Mytilus edulis: one gene and its partner. The protein of the gene in region 2 interacts with the protein of the main gene of each other region in a pairwise test. Links are inferred from orthologs where the notes say so. Each region holds a gene or a part of one and is shown on either strand. Other genes may lie near its edges.

Region 1 (8,512 bases), on a different chromosome or scaffold from region 2:
TACAACATCCCACATCAAATATATCAGTACATAGCTTTGGATCCATATTATCATTTTATTATAGACAATCAATAGGGAGAATACAGCATAAAAATGTCCAACCCTTACACTTTACAGCAACTATAGAATATACATGCCCCACGTCAGGAACCGTTTAAAAAGTGCATTTTACACTTATTTTTTTTTTATAGTCCAAAAAAGGTCCAACAAATTTAAAACTTCGCCCCCCCCCCCCTCTATCTAAATTCCTGGATCCGCCCCTGATGTCCGTCATTCAGGATTCACCTGACCCCGAATTTGCCTCATTTCATGGATGAAGATTCAGTCCGTATCGCGGATTCGTTAAGCTTTAGGATAAATGTCTGTTGTTATGATTGTAAGGTGTACATTTGCAGACTTCTGCAAGGTTTATATAACATCGAGCTCATTATCATGCATCATTCGGCAATGTTCGTTTTATGTTGGTTAGCCTTTTGGATATATACCTGTTTGCTATAGCGCCATGGTATTTCGTGTATGGTGTACATGTCTGTCTGAATGTTTCATATATGACCATGATGACGTCAATTGTATTTGATATATTGAATGATAGTAAGATGTCTATGTCTGGCTGTCGGTCAGGGTTCATATACTTTTGACCTTATGTTCCAAATCAATTGGCCAAGCATCACTTTTACATTTGTCATTTTCTAAGGCATTGTAAGGATCGGAACACATATATTTGGTCTACGGGATATTTGTAGAGATCTGTATGTCATGGTTCATCTGTTCTTGCACTCTTTTTATGAACCATTTACAATCCTAATTTTAAAAAAAGAAGATATAGTATGATTGCCAAAGAGACTACTATCCACAAGAGACCAAAATGACACAGACATTAACAACTATAGGTCACCGTACGGCCTTCAACAATGAGCAAAGCCCATACCGCATAGTCAGCTATAAAAGGCCCCGATATGACTATGGAAAACAATTCAAACGAGAATACTAACGGCCTTATTTGTATATAGATAATGTGGCGGGGTTAAACATGTTGGCGGGGTTAAACATGTTAGCGGGATCCCAACCCACCCCCTAATCTGAGACAGTGGTATAACAGTACAACATAAGAATGAACTATAAAAATCAATTGAAAAGGCTTAACTCATCAGATGGACAAAAATACATTAAGCACATTAAGCGCATTTGACACTTCTATTAAAACCCTTGATATTATAGACGTTCAAAAGAATTACTATCATAACTAAAGCAGACGAGATTTACTCAAATTACTCATGAAAGATGCTGTTTTGCTGAAAGTTTTTGTTTGATGGATATCATTTTGGTTTAAACGTTGCATATCCATATTATTGGCTAAATAGTGTCGGTCTGCCTGAATTGCACTTGACCGATTCTCAGAGCTGAATCTTTCAAACTTATTTAGACACGTTTTTAGTTGTTTTGTTTTTTAACTTTCGAGGTAAAGTGTTGAATAGAAAAATATAATAGCTTTAATTTTCTTCCTTATCAAAATAGTTACAGGCTTCAACCAGTTGCAGGTTTATCAAATGGTAAAAAAAAATACTGATTTCTGATTACTAGTAATAAGTCTGGTCACGCATTATCTTTCACGATCAAAATAATGCGTTGCCTGATCTTTCACGATCAAGTTTGATGGATATTCAACAAATTCAAGGTTTTCATATACAAATTAATGCTTTTAAGGGAAGAACATACCTTAATTTTGCTGTACTATCATATACACCAAAGATTAAATTTCAAATATATCACGATAAACTGAAATATGACCATTATAGGTACAAAAAGCGTGTTATTTGTAATTAATTTCATAGACATGCATTGCGCCTTTTGTGTTTTTTCATAAAGTACTGCATATATTCTTTATCTTATTTCACAGATATGTTGAGGAAGTTAAACCATTTTGACAGACATATTTTTTTGTTCGGATTTGTTCCGCGTTTTGAAAATTAAGCGATTTTTTAAAAGATTCTGACCTAAAATTTTCATTAAATGTCTTTCACGATCCGTTACCAGAACTTTCACGATCGTCTCTCAATACTTGACCGTCGTTAGATATTCTTTCACGACCATTTCTCTCGATAAACCGAATGACACCCGTGTCCATTGTCTATGAACATGTAGCATTTCGTACAAATTATTATAATTCACGTATAACTTGTACAATAACTTATAGTATGGATTTTGTTATAAAAAAAGCATTGGTACACCCTATAGATTATTTTTATTCAATGACCACATAATAATCTTTATGATGTACTGTTACACCACTGTCCCTGATTAGGGGAGGATTGGACACCACCTATAGCATGGTAACGTTGACGCAATCACATTCTGTATGTGCCTACTTCCAAGTCAGGAGCCTGGATTCAGTGGTTGTAGTTTGTTACTGTGTTACTAAGTTTCTCGTTCACTATTTTGTGGATAAATAAGGCAGTTAGTTTTTATCCTTTGAATTATTTTACATTACTAAGTGGTATGGGTTTGAATTATGGCTTTTGAAATTATACAACATCTTTTTCTTTTAGCATTTATATTATAAGTGCTACTCCCTCTCTTTTCATTTACATGAAAGAGAACCCTGACCAGCATATTTTTAAAAGTTTTTTAACTGCTTCACATGGCGAAAATTGAAGCTCTGAAACCATTGATGCAAATAAAGATGTGTCTTCAGTTTAATTTTTCGATAAATTTACCCTTTTTAAAAATCCTACAGCTTCTCCCATGCTGTACCCAAATTTTCCATATTCTATAATTTTACACAAGATGCATGATTGGTGTTTCACTTGGTGTCATCCAAATTTTCACTAGGTCCACATTCTATTATACTATCAGAATTGTCACTTGAGGCAATTTCTATTATCAGAAGAACCATAACTGGCATGCGTGTTTCAGTTACATGTCCTGTCTCAACTGATCTGGGTATTTTTGTATTTTATAAGTAAGTTTTATCAGGAGGTCATTAAATAAAAAAAATATATTGTGCATCAATTTTTTTTTTTTATTACTTGTAAAGTATTGCTTTTCAGAAGAAAAAAATCTAAAAATCAAATTGACAATAAAGTGTCACTGGCTGCACTACTATTTTCAAAAATTAAATAAAAAAACCTAAATCTTTAACAATTGATCCCTCAAATTCCCTAGATTAAAAATATCCCTATATCAAAAACAGAAACTAGTCATTTCGTTCAGAAAAATTCAACAATCATACTATAACTTATTGTACAAGTTACAGAAAAAAAATCAACCAAGGCAGAACTGCCTCAATGGCCGAAACGTCTTGTTTACACAAATTACAATTTTCTAGGTCCATACCACAATTTATATACTAAGATCTACGAGTCATCTGCTGGATTGGTCCTGGGCAGATTTATTTTCATATTTCATTTACTGTTATCTGTTATTATCCCTTTCCAATTCCTTGTTATCTGTTTTTCACCAAATCAAATCACTGTTTTGCTGTTATGGGGACCCCCCTTGCCCCCCCCCCCCTCATTACATAGTGATCATTAGATTGTGGATACCTTGTTACTATGAGCTTGTTGTTGCCTTATAATCATCAGCTTGTGGTTACTGTGTGATCATCAGCTTGTGTGTGCATTGTGATCATTATTAGGGTGTCCTTTAAGAGTAGACTAGTCCGACAGATAACCAATCTTCTTTCTTCGTTTTCATGTACTCTACTGATCGCAGCTCACAACACGACTCACTTCTTGGACAAATTATTATGGAAATCCCTGATGAATTGAACGCTAAAGTTAGCAGCCATGAAGTTGTCTGGTAAAGAACCTGATTGGAAGTTTTCGGCAAGTACTGACCAGGTGACCGTACAGTTGACATGGAACAAGGCTAAGGAACCAGAGGCATTCTCCAGTAAATCCAAGCCGGCTCTAAAAAAGAACAAACCAGGAGAAGGGACGCCAAGCGTTACGACCAGTGGGTGCAGGCCAAAAGCTCTGCTGCAACATCAGCTGAGGTCAAACCACCAGGGTAGACCAGAAACAGCAGAAGAAGCCATACCATCACTAGAGGGCAGCAGGGAGATAATACCCACAAAATAACAAGGGGGAAATTAGGGGATCGTTATCAAAACGAATATCGTCATCAGTCCGTTCAACCACAGGAAGGCATGCCATCTCCAATATCGCCAACCAACCAGCGACAGAGACTAGTAAGACTAGACTACTTTGAAAGGAGGGTAACATATCTGAACTAATAATGACTTCAAAGCTCAGCTAACAAACAAACTATCCAAGAATTCTACTGTATTTTGTGTCAGTTGGTCTCTTGTGGAGAGTTGTCTATAGCAATTATACCACATCTACATCTTTTTTTTTCTCAAGTCAATGCCGCGTGCTTAGCGGAGATGCAGCTAATACCAATTTTAAGATCTTTGGATTCACCCGTTAGGGCTTCGAACCCAGGACACTATCCCTCACTCGAGACGAACGCGCTACAACTTACCCACCGGGGCGGTTTGACCATGGAACTTCCGTGGTTTGACTATGTTTCATATTAGTTACAGGAAAAAACTACCAGCGCTGTTTTGTCCTAATTCTTATGTATATGGATGTATCACTTGTTTTGTTTTTGCATTGTTTGAAAGATTTAAACAACAATTTAGTTATGATATTGTTTTAACGAATAACATAAAATCAACAACATCTTTATATCTTTCAAATTGTTCCCGAAAACTTTTCAAACACTCAAGTTTTTTTTATAATTTTTGTTGCCAATTCTCACAATTTAAAGTATTTAGATCATTTGTAACATTTTTTTCCAAAAGAAATATTTACCAGAAAAGCTTTTGTATTTTACGTGATAAAATAATAAGAAAAGATATTCACGGAAACTTTTTTTTTTAATTTCCTTCTATCATTTCAAACTGTATTGTTAGTATAATAGTCACAGCTTTGAATCACAAAACAGTTGATTATGAACCTTGACCTCATATGTGAACAGTTTTCAACCTGAATAGTATAGTGTTATAGTTTATATAATGATTGTCATAGTAAGGTGGATATATCCAAAATGCAGATAAAAAGTAAACAGAATTTGTGTAGTGTTGTTAAAGACAAAAAATATTCTTCAAGTTCACTGAAAGGACTTAACCAATGCCAGCATATTTTACGGAAATACAAACTTTTCCGTAAGAAGTTGGGACAGTTTGCTAAGAGGATTGTAATGCCTGTTTTGGCACATAAAGAAAAGAAGAGAGATGAATTCAAACGTCCCCACGCTATCGTTAGCAGCAGACACAGAAATACATCCCTTAAGAAGGAAGAAGTTGTTCTTGGACGCTTGCTTGGCACAGGTGGATTCGGATCAGTTTACAGAGGTAAATACAAAGATTCAACTGTGGCCGTCAAAGTAATGCACAGAGTAACGAAAAATCCTGCGGCACAGCTGGAAAGCTTCAAGGCTGAGTTAAATACGATAGGATTCGACCATGAAAACATTGTCAAAACTATCACAGCTACATCTTTGGATGTTTTTGATCAAGGTGCTTGGATTGTTATGGAGTATGCTGGACATCGGACATTACAAAGCCTTATAGATGACGATTCCATTTCCCTTGGGCCATGCCGCAGGGTCAAATTTTCCCAGCAGATTGCCGAAGCTCTAAAGTATGCACATGACATGAAAATTGTTCATCTGGATTTAAAACCAGCAAACATTCTCATAACGCCAGATGGTCGATGCAAAGTTGCAGACTTTGGTTGCTCTCAAAAAGTGGAGATTGACACGGGGATTGTCAGTCCAACACAAAGATCCATTTTGACAGGTACTTTTGCTTACAGAGCTCCAGAACTATTAAAAGGTGAAGCTCCGTCTAAAAGGGCAGATATTTATGCATTAGCTGTCATAATGTGGCAGTTGTTGAGTCGACAGACCCCGTTTAGTAACGAAAACCAGCACGTAGTTATTTTTGGCGTGGTAGCATATGGACAGAGACCTAAGCATCCAGAAATTGATGTTGATCCGTTTGAGGAATCGTATAGAGACTTGTATTCACAGTGTTGGCTACCATGTGCCTTAGACCGACCAACAGCTGGGGAAATTGCGGAATTGTTGAACATATGGAGAGGTTACATGTAAAGTGTTGTGAAAAAAGAATATTTTACTTAAAACAAACCAAATAGCAATTTATTGATAAATGATTTGTATGCCAATAGAAACAAGATTTAGTATTTTAATGTCAATTTGTGTAAATATTCATTTGATAATTTTTGCCTGAGAGGTGTCTTTACATACACATCTCAATGTATTTTCTGTTGATTTATTTTTGTCAGCCTGATTTTATGGCTTTGATAGACATTGTACAGTGTATAGCTTATTTTTTACATTAGTTTTTTTTACAATTGTTATCCTGTTTTATGTACAGAATATTATTTACATTTGTTCTCGTTATTTTACATTTGTTATTTTTATTTTGAGAACAGTTGTTTTTACATTTGTTTTCCTTTAAAAAAAAACTACTCGTGAACTATTAAAGTTTGGTATTGAATCCAAGACCCGAGGGTAAATTCATTGTGAAGTGCGATCTCCCGGTCAATCTTTATAATTTTAAATAATATGTGAAACCGAAACTACGTCTTGAATACTGAACGCGCATTTTAGTCAACAACACATGACATGACATGACATGACATTTATTTTGAGATGTAAAAAAAACATTTGCAACCACCGTGACCTTGCATCGAACACATAACTCAAGTATTTTACATTTCATGATTTGTGATTTCCCGCGATTTTATTCGGTGCTTCTCTAGAGTATTTATTGATTAGGTCAAGGATTTGGTATTGCAACTATTTACATGGAGAGAAACACAGGTATGCAACACATTTAATGCATTGTACATGATAAAGAGAGAATATATTGTATAACACGAATTTTAGATAGATAAGGTTTGACCTGTATATTTTATTTTTTAATTGCAAGTGCTTACATTTATTATTTCCCTTTATATTAGCTGGATAAACAAAAATACCGATGAACCATGAATTGTCAACATTGTCGATTGTATGGTAAAAAATGTAACATTAAAGTTCCTCAGACATTTTATTATTTGTATTTTATTAATATTCTTCTTGTGTCAATGTGTGTTAGGCAGCAACCATTTGATTTTCTGGGGGGGGGGGGGGGCTATGGTTTTTTTTTGGAAAAAAAAGTTTGTTTCCAGGTTTTGGTTTGTCGCTAAAAAAATAGATTGTTCTGCGCCGAAGGCGAAAAAAAAAGTTTGCACAGAAAAAAAAACCATAGCCCCCCCCAGAAAATCAAATGGTTGCTGCCTTTTGATGAATGCATGAACCTCTAAACCAATATATACTTTGCATTGATACTAAGGGGGCCCGCTTACTGACCTAAAGGGGGGGGGGGGGGGGGGCACTCCAGTCATAATGGTCAGACAGCATCACTATTAGAATCATAAATATTCTCTCGGATACTATAATCAATAGGGCCACTGAACTTGGTGTATGTAATGATTGTAAGTTGAACATGTCTCTGACTTTGACTTTATTTTAAGCTCCCCTTTTAGAGGAAATGTGAGCCTTTGCCATCACTTGACTTGGCTTCAGTCATCATCCGTTGTTGTCCATCGTTGTCCTTTGGATGTAAAATATATCAAGCAGCTTCTTTGAAACTACAGAAACAATTACAACCAAACTTAAGCTGGATGATTCTTAGGGTATCTAGAATTATATTTGGGTTTTATTTTCTGTTGTGTAAAAAAACATGGCCCCCATGGCTTAAATTAGAACAGAGTGGTAAAGTGCAGTTTTTGGTTTATATATATAATATTTATCTCAAAAACTAGAGCGAAACTCCCATGGAGTAAAAACGTTCCTTTGGTCAAGTTCTATCAGCCCTGAAATTTTCAGATGAATCTATAACAATAATTCATTTGCTAATTACCGATTTGATTCTGTTATTACACACTTTTAAAACAAATTACTTCCTTTTGTCAATTGTAGACTGGATCTATACCGGACAAAATTGGATTTTGTCAATGCACAGCATGATGAATTTAAAGTGATATATCAGCACTTTAACTAATTTTTCATGAAAAATAGTTTCTGACGTCAACAGTGTTTAGCTTTAACAACAAATTAATGTAATCAAAAGATTTGAAAAACTTAAGATTACTCATATTACCCACAAGTGAATTTGCTCTTTCTGCTAGCTCTCAATTGTAAATAAAAATTAATGTCCCTAAGCCTTATAAGGGAGACAACTAAAAAAGGGATCTCTAATTACAGGGTCAATTAAGGGAATTGGCAAATGGACTATTGTTCATCTATACAGATATAAGAGTTACAATGTGGTATGAGTGCCAATGATACAATTAAATCATCCAAGTCACAATTCGTAAAAAGTAAACTATTATTGGTCAAACTACGGTCTTACATAGGGGTAAAATGCTTTTTTTTGATTTTGAAGAAAATATGACAATACATTCAAAGAACATTTAAATATCATTTTTAGCCACAC
Region 2 (9,016 bases):
GGTGTATATAACTTATAAGAACAAACACAATACCAATTTCATATTTAATAATTTTTTGATATGAAAAAACTTTACCTGATGATAGTGTTTTTTGGTCTACCATGTTTATATTGAATATTAATCATACATACATGACATAACTTAAATAACGTCACAATTAAACATGCTATACTTTTTAACAACAGAGCCAAAATCAGAATTTTTTTTAAACAGATTTTGAAGTTTAAATAAAATTAAGAAAGGAATGTATTGAATTAGAAAAAAAATCATACAGACTTTGTCCTCTTACACTGGTATTGCCTGCCTCATTTACACCTCAATTATCACTATTTGTCCGCTATTACAGCTGGATACCACACAGGTTGCCATAAAATTTTGATGTCATAAAATAAATCAAAGCCAATTGCTGCCATGTTTATGTTTTGGGGACTTTTTTTTCATCCACATATATTTAAGAATTAAACATGACAGGAGTGTTGTCTAGTGAGAATTAAGAAGGTTTTAACTTTATATCAATTAAAGACTTAAGCAGAAAGTCATTTTTAATATGTTTTATATTTCACAAGGAGACAACACGTTTACCAGGCTAAAGTTGGGGTCAGATATACATGTGCTGAAACATATAACTCCAAGAGAAATTATTATGGATTATCCCCTAGTAGTGTTTGTAACTGGGCAATAATTTCCTTTATTGATTTAATTTTCATAATTAATTTAAATTTTACACTTCAGTTAAAACATTTCAACTTTCCAGACGCAAATGTTGAAAAACGGGAAAGAAACAAAATATTTTACAAGACATAAACATGTAAAAAATAAATATATATTTAAGCTGACTAAAAATATTTTCATAATGTTACTTTGTCATCATTTCTTAAAAACTAAGTCCCAAACGTTATTGCTCAGTTGATATGTGTCATCCTCATGCTGTACGAGATAACTATAATTCTCATGCAATCCCGAAAAGAGGGGCCATCACAGACAAACATGACATTAAATCGTCATTATACGAACACGAACAAACAGCTCTAAGTTGCTTTGATATCTATCCAATTTTCAGGAAACATTGTGAAAATGATCTTCAATATTTCGAAAACATGTGAAATATAATTGCAAACACGGTGGACCGTCGAGGGTCAACAAACGTAGTAGACTCGTCCATTGGAAAGACAAGGATAATGGTTTCATCATTTGTCATGCATACCCAGTTTTGAATATGATATCCAAAAAGGATGTACTTTTTTTAATCTATGAAACTAGAAAATTCCAAATTGTAAATATCTCTTCATCTGGACTTGGCATCTATCACATTTGGACGGGTCCATTTCATTAGTAAGGTGATCGATAAATCTTACGGAGTTATGACAAAAAAGGAAAACAAACTTATTGTTATGTGTTTTTAACAAGGGTTTCGTTCCTCTAAATTATTTGCGCAAACAAATCAACAAAATAGGTCAGTTAACTTTGTCTATTTTTAGATTACAGGTAATCATTTGACACTACGTATAACCTGATAACCTGTGTAGTGATTTTGATTTTACGATAAATTTATGAATGAACGACAATTTTATGAATGAACAAGAGCACCTGACCTCTTTCTTAAAAAAACACCAATTAAACATATAAAACCGTATATTATAAAAGATAATTCAGTCAAATTTTCAATACTAAATCAACAACTGAAATGATTCCATATTTTGTTGAAACATCGTACGAACGGAAAACGGAATCGCAGGTATAAAAATGCATTTTTTTTCACTCGGACGTCTATGTTTTTTGATAGTCAAACGGTTGTCCCCCTAAATACAAAAATATATCTACAAGAACGTATGCTGAAACTTCTTAAATCCACTAACGTTTTTCAAAAGTTTCAAGCTATGTATTGCATTAGAAAACATACATAGGTGTTTAAGAATGACAGACCAGGAGCCTGTTTAACAAAATACTATGGCTTGATCTGGGCGGAGTCTCTGATCTGGGTCACAAAGATGGCCATACGCGACGGCATGAAAGCAATTGCTTTAAAAATCTGATGACACAATGGAAAGTGATTGTTGTATGTGTCAAAAGTTCAAGCGGCTGGGTCAGCCAGAATTAGCGATAATGTGTATTAAATGAGTATCCAAAATGGCCGATACCATGGCATTTTCACTGATACCAGTAATAGTTGTAAAAAACAGGCTAATTCGTTTGAAATGAGGAAAACCAGATATATAGATAGAATAATATATGTGAAAAATACACCGGCTACCAACCAATCAAAATCTGGCCTTTTTTTTAAATAAGGTGTAATTATATCACTAATGTGCCATTAAAATAAGTTGATGGTGTCCCTAAAGTAAAAGTAGGGAATCCATGATATCTCGGCCTATAACATAATCGGACTATAACAAACTCGGCCTATAAGAAACTCGGCTTCCCAAAATCGGACTATAACAAAGTCGGACTATACCAAACTCGGACTACTAGAAGAATATAAGTATAATGTTGGTTGTTGTTGTTATTCGAAATTAATTTTCAATTCTTAATTTAAATGAATTTTTATCTTCAATTAATTAAATAATTGAACTTTTTTGAAGGGGATAAAAAAATAAGTTAACAAGATATTTTTAAAATAAAAGTACAAAAATAAATCTTTTTGAAATTCATTTATGAAAATTTCCACTGATTTGTCTTTTCAGTATTATTATTTGTAATAATGTCCCTCTCAGAATATGTTTTTATTATATGCATATCTTAATTGATTATGACATCATGCCACGTGTATCGTTGATACCTTTTTTAATCATCATAGGTTAAACAAACAACTGGCACATGTACTGTTGACACCTATCTTATCACCCAAGTCAGGACAAATCTATCTGTTATTACAGGAAATTTGGTACTAAATATCCAATTAAATGTGTCTTGTCTTGTATTGGCTATGACTGGACTTCAGGTTTTTTTTTATTATTATAAATTTTGTGTTAATTATTATAAGACAATTCAGTGAATTGTAGCATTTCTGGTTTTTGATCATATTTTGAAATAGTGAAATTGTTATGAAGCCATTCACTGTCAATCAAATTTCTCTGTGTTTATTTACTATAATCATAAACACCAAGGATTAAACACAATAAAAACACGAACACACGCCACTCATTAAAATATCTTTTGCAATTGTCAATAAACATCATAAATCACAATAACATTCCAATGTAAGTTAATTATCCTCATTGGATCTCCTGTAGTTGGTGATCGCAATACTGGTATACCAGTATTGTCCACAATACTGGTATAAAAATTTTGTACCAGTATTGTATTCCAGTATTGTACCAGTATTGTGCTTTTTTTAAATAAACAATATAGGTAATTAATCTTTTATTAAAGGTGTCACATATATGCATAATGAAATTAACATATGACATGACAATTTTATCAGGAATGATTGTGTTTAACTGATGATGCCATAGATGGTACTCTGTGATTGTCATCAAATAAAGTTTTAAATCTTCTGATGTTTTTTTCTTAACCATTCTGTCTCAGCATTTTAACAAACTCTGTACTTTCTTCTATCTTTCCAAGATTCATGTAGTATATTTTAGTGAATTTTATATTGACATTAATGCTGTTATAGCTTCTGTATCATCAGCATTGGTATTGTCTATTTCTTCTTCAGATGTGATTTCTGCAACCCCTCCCCCCTCCTATATTCAGTCTCTGTGGACTTTCTCTAAAGCTTACTAGATTACAAGCTATTTCAAATAGCATTTGTACAGCTCTCTTACTGTCAGAATGCTGGTCTAGTATTTGTACCAGTAGATATATATGTACCTGCTACTAATTGTATTGTCCATGGTTCTGAATCAACTGCTTCAACCCTTAACATTCATGTAGACAAACTATTTAATTTGATTATAACAAGGTTCCCCTATAAAGCAACTTTTTATTATTAATGAATAATATTGATATCTTTTGTTGTGAAAGATTAATAAGAAAATAAAGACAAACAAATGCATATGATCTTAGTACACAAAAAATGTATACATGTATTAAAATGTTTGTCAAAATATGTGATGGCATACATGTAAATGATGAATTTACAGTGTTAGAGTCTAATAATTTGCTTGAATTTATTATATTATTACTCAGATAATAATAAGCTTTTATATAATAAATTTTAAATAATATAAAATTATTAGCAATTGTTTAAATAATAATGATGATATGAGTTAATTTCAATAATCTTTTGTTTATTTGTGCAAGTATAGTAATGACTTTTAACTGGTTGTTAAATAATTATTGATTTCACAATTATCCTCTATAATCTTTTTGAGTTCATTTAATCTCCCTTTGATCTTCAATATAGTCTAGTCAACAATACAACTACAATACTGGTATATCAGTAATGTACCAGTATTGCTGTTTTTTTTTAATAAAAAGTTACAATACTGGTACAAAATTTTTATACCAGTATTGTGGACAATACTGGTATACCAGTATTGTGGACAATACTGGTATACCAGTATTGCGATCACCAACTACTGGCCTTGAAGGCATAAAACTTTGCTCAGTGCTTGGAGCACAAAAATCGTGCTCGAAACATGAAATCCAGCAATTTGATTGGTTGATTTTCGAGTCTGAGTTCAAAAATCATGCTCGAAAGTTTTATGACCGTTAGGCCAGGAGATCCTCCTCATTTAAACATATCTAATTCAACTCATATAACAAATATTAATCATTTCTATATACGATTTTTTTTTTACAAAAATATTCATGATAATCTCATAAATTCGTATATTATTTTAATATATAAGTATTTTTTATTACAATCTTCTAATCGTACTGTAGTCCGAGTTTGTTCAATATATTTCTGCATATAAATAATGGTAGGCCGAGTTTGTTATAGTCCGAGTTATAGTCCGATTTTGTTATAGTCCGACTTTGTTTTAGTCCGAGTTATCCAGCAGCGAAAGCAGGCCCTCTCACCAAAGGCACTTGTTTCTATCCATGGGAAGACCCACTTGGATAGAAACAAGTGCCTGTGCCACTCACCAGCTCACGGCAGTTGTTAAAACTTATTTTCAAAGTTAAAAAATAAACATTTTGTTGGTTGTCTGGTAATCTAAAACTAAATTTTATGTGAAAGATGAATTATTGTTGCAGTGAAGCTTTAACATGACTTCGACAAGCTAATGTCAATATGAAAAATACAGCAATATTTTGGTCAGCAACCAAGTTGTTTACCATCGTAATCCGCCATCTTCCAAATATCCAGCGACACTATTCAGCAGCAAATTAAATTCTTTCACTCTTTGAGGGTATAACAAAAATGTTTTTTGAAATTTTAAAAAAGGCAGTTTATTTTCCTTTATTTGAAAATAAAAAAAAATGAAATTGTGTTGATTTAAATTATATATTTTTTGTACTCGTATTTGCCTCGGAAATAAAAGAGTTGTCTGCAACTTCCGGTCTAAAAAATTATGATAAATTTTCAGCACGAAACCAGCGACACCTACAGAATACAGAATACAGAAACCAGAAGCTGACTTTATATCTAAATCTAGGTATATTTACAAAACAAGTCATACCTGCCAACTGTCACTACTTGCGGGTTCCCAAAGAGAAATTTTACAAGAGCAATTTTGTCCACTATTTTAAACAAAACAATGAATTTTATCATGACTTTAAGTTTAAATAGGCTTTTGAAAGTATGAAGAATCACAAAAACAACATTGAAATGCATTTAAAAGCCCCCTTTAAGTTTTTTAAGGACTATGACAGCCATCTTGCACGCAAAACCTCTGGGCAGGGGAAATCATAGAGAGGGGAGCCTAACTCGCTTCAGATGATAATCAGACAATGGCGGCTTTATTTCGGAAATATGTAGATTTTACATAACAAATAAGAATACAGTCCGAACATACCGATAAATTATCCTGCTAGTTCGATTGGCTTAAAGTTTTTTCGTGTTTTTATTTTGATAAGTGTATGAACCCTTGACCGGTTATTTGGGGTCTTCTTCTACACTCCCAAAATATGATAACAAACACGTCTTAGCACACGAATGTACTCAATCAAAGTGTTTTCTACGTGTATTATGAAAACTATAGAAAAGGGGGAGGGGGGAATACTTGAAAAAATAATTTAAATTTGTTTTATTCGTTTAAATTGGTCTACCGATATACAAATTTCATTACTGAGTAAAAGTAATTGAAAATGAATTTATATTTCAGCAAGAAATTTACATAAAATGTTTTTTTTAAACCAGTTTAATTCTGTCAGTAACAAATCCAGTACGCATTTTTTCACCGGAGGAAAAACTATCGGTGCTTTCACTTGCATAATTTTGATTTTTGGATATCATGTATAACACTTGCGGTATCCTCGTGTAAGCATTGATTTGCTTCAACTGAGTTACAATTTTTAAAGATTTGTAAATAACAAAAAAAAAGCGGAGCGAGGCAAAAATTTTTGAGGTTATTTTTTTAAAAATATTCTTCTAAAGGGGTGCAATGTAGGTATTTCGAACTATTGTGAGGTACAGTCAGCAAGAAATTAAAGTTTCAAGTAGAAACCACCTAAATCCAACCTGACAACAATTTACAATCACTATAGTATCATGGACGGACAGATGTAAAACAATATATGTTCCTGTTCCGCGAAAAACCTCTCAGTTATGATGACAAGGTCTCTTACAAACTTGAAAAATCTTCAACAAACTCCTAACACCAATAACTTACGTACTACATGTAAGAGATTCATTCTGCATATATATGATAGAGTTTATAAAGCTGCAACCCAAAACAGAAGCTGAAGATCATGCGAACAATTTATTTTGATTCTGTGTTCCTATGCAAACTGAGTGTGCAGACCAATCTACACTGAAGACACCAGCACTTCTAAAATAATCAATATAAGGTCATAAATATCCCTGAAAGACATTGGTGCTGGTAATTGTGATAAACAGAAACATCACAAAAACAGGAAGCCCTTGTTTGCAGATCGTCAATGTCACTTAGCCATTCAACATGGTGTAAATTATGTGAAATGAAACCGGTTCACTTAAGAATTACTTTAACACTCCATAACACAATCATCGACAAACTTGGTTAGGACGATGGAAATGTAAAGAGTTGACAGATAGACGGGTGGATCGACGGAAGCAAAGTGAGACAAGATAGATCACATCAGCTCACATGACCAATACTAGATACTAGTATTAGATTTCGCAAACGAAAATTTCCACTTTTCGCGGTGATTTCCAATTGTCCTTTAATTATATGTTTTAACTTTTTGGATTTTCGGAGGTCGTGCCAGACTTAATATATACATATACTGTGTTCGCCACAAACCACTAAAATCAGAATGAGATACATTTACGAAGTTATTTTTATTTTGTGGGGATACGGCCATGCACGTATTTACGGTATACATAATTCGCCACTTCGATTATCAAAGAAATTGATTATAAAACGGCAAAAACAAAGTAACAATTGTTTGTAATTTAACAGCTTAAACATGTTTTTCATTTTTCAATCAGACACCTTCCTTTGAAGTATATAATATTTATAGAACTTGAATAAATTGTAGGTCAGTTGATTCTGTTACTTAGTATAGAAAGTCCCTGGTTAAACTGACTGTTTTATATACTTTGAATGTTAAGAAGGAATGGTCTCTTCTGATACTGAAACAAGTTGAAGACAACCCATACTTTGCAAATTTTAGGGGGGGGGGCGTACGCCCGCCACGCCCCCACGTAAATCCGCCCCTGGTTCAATGGCGGATCCAGAAATATATATAGTTTTTATGCAAGTTGGCTTCTTTATCTTAAGTATTGTTCACTGAATCAGGATAGGCGGATCTAACCCAATTTATAGTGACAAATTTGGTTGATATATATTGTCTGCTTAATTCTATAATTTGCATATTTAAAAATCTGGATTGCAGATCTTTGATGATTTTTTTTAACTATGACGATTAGAAGCTGTGACAAAAGAAACAGCTAGGTATGAACCGTAAGCTGCAGTCAGCAATGTAACCATAAATCGTATGTCCATAATATTTGGAATGCAGTTGTCAGAAGCTGGATAAAACTTGGTAGTTAGGGTGCTCGCACCCCTCTCATTAAGCTTCATTTAGGGTCAGTCAAGATTTTTGCAGGTTTCACTCATAAATTCGTCTAGCTTTGGGACCCCTCCACAAACCACTTTTACAAATTCTAGATATGCATCGGGTTGTATTTACTGAAGCACATCTTATACTAAAAGTCATGGAGTTTTTTTTTAGACCAGCCCATGTTCAGGGTTTATTGACTAGAGACCTTTTACATGCAGGGACACAATTTATGAGTTATTTTTCAGTAGATGCATTTGGTCTCTGGTTGAGAGTTGTCTTTTTCAATCATTAGCAATCTTACCACATATTTTCATATTTCTGTGTTCAACTGTTTGTTCTTAAATGTTAAGCTGTTACACCGTCACAAGTTACAGGAGAATTTGCATGTACAGTATGTGTAAGCCCACCACATTCTCATTCTGTATGACTTTGTTCTAAGTAAGTAGTTTGAAACTCTGTTTGCTTTTGGTCATATTGAGTTTTATTTGTTTATCACTTGCATTTTTATGCCCCACCTACTACAGTAGAGGGGCATTATGTTTTCTGGTCTGTGCGTCCGTTCGTCTGTCCCGCTTCAGGTTAAAGTTTTTGGTCAAGGTAGTTTTTGATGAAGTTGAAGTCCAATCAACTTCAAAATTAGTACACATGTTCCCTATGATATGATCTTTCTAATTTTAATGCCAAATTAGAGTTTTTATCCCAATGTCATGGTCCACTGAACAGTGGGGCATTCGTGTACTGAGGACACATTCTTGTTAGATGTGTTGGGATCCTGATTATACACCAACAAACAACACTACCTTTAAAGACACCATAATGATCAATGTGACAGGGATATCTACATCAATACGGTATTATTTGCATATCCTTATTCCTATAGCAAAGAGTCTAGGACCATGTATTTTAAAAGTCAAACAAA

Evidence for each region. The genes of interacting proteins can lie anywhere in the genome.
Region 1: the proteins of myotubularin-related protein 9-like (region 2) and serine/threonine-protein kinase mos-like interact in binary tests that used the Homo sapiens proteins (3 or more experiments, as listed by UniProt). The link is inferred for Mytilus edulis from reciprocal best matches to the Homo sapiens genes MTMR9 and MOS.

The regions. Positions count from the first base shown.
Region 1 is NC_092344.1:114,466,592-114,475,103, reverse strand, and holds serine/threonine-protein kinase mos-like, read left to right. Parts: upstream 1-4,973; 5' UTR 4,974-5,049; coding exon 5,050-6,117; 3' UTR 6,118-6,836; coding exon of another isoform or gene 6,837-6,852; 3' UTR 6,853-7,019; coding exon of another isoform or gene 7,020-7,047; 3' UTR 7,048-7,084; downstream 7,085-8,512. Other genes in the region: NF-kappa-B-activating protein-like, read left to right, coding at 7,020-7,047.
Region 2 is NC_092355.1:76,962,474-76,971,489, reverse strand, and holds the start of myotubularin-related protein 9-like, read left to right. Parts: upstream 1-5,421; 5' UTR 5,422-5,546; intron 5,547-9,016. Other genes in the region: zinc finger C2HC domain-containing protein 1A-like, read right to left, coding at 5,227-5,242. UniProt on the Homo sapiens protein: Acts as an adapter for myotubularin-related phosphatases. Increases lipid phosphatase MTMR6 catalytic activity, specifically towards phosphatidylinositol 3,5-bisphosphate and MTMR6 binding affinity for phosphorylated phosphatidylinositols.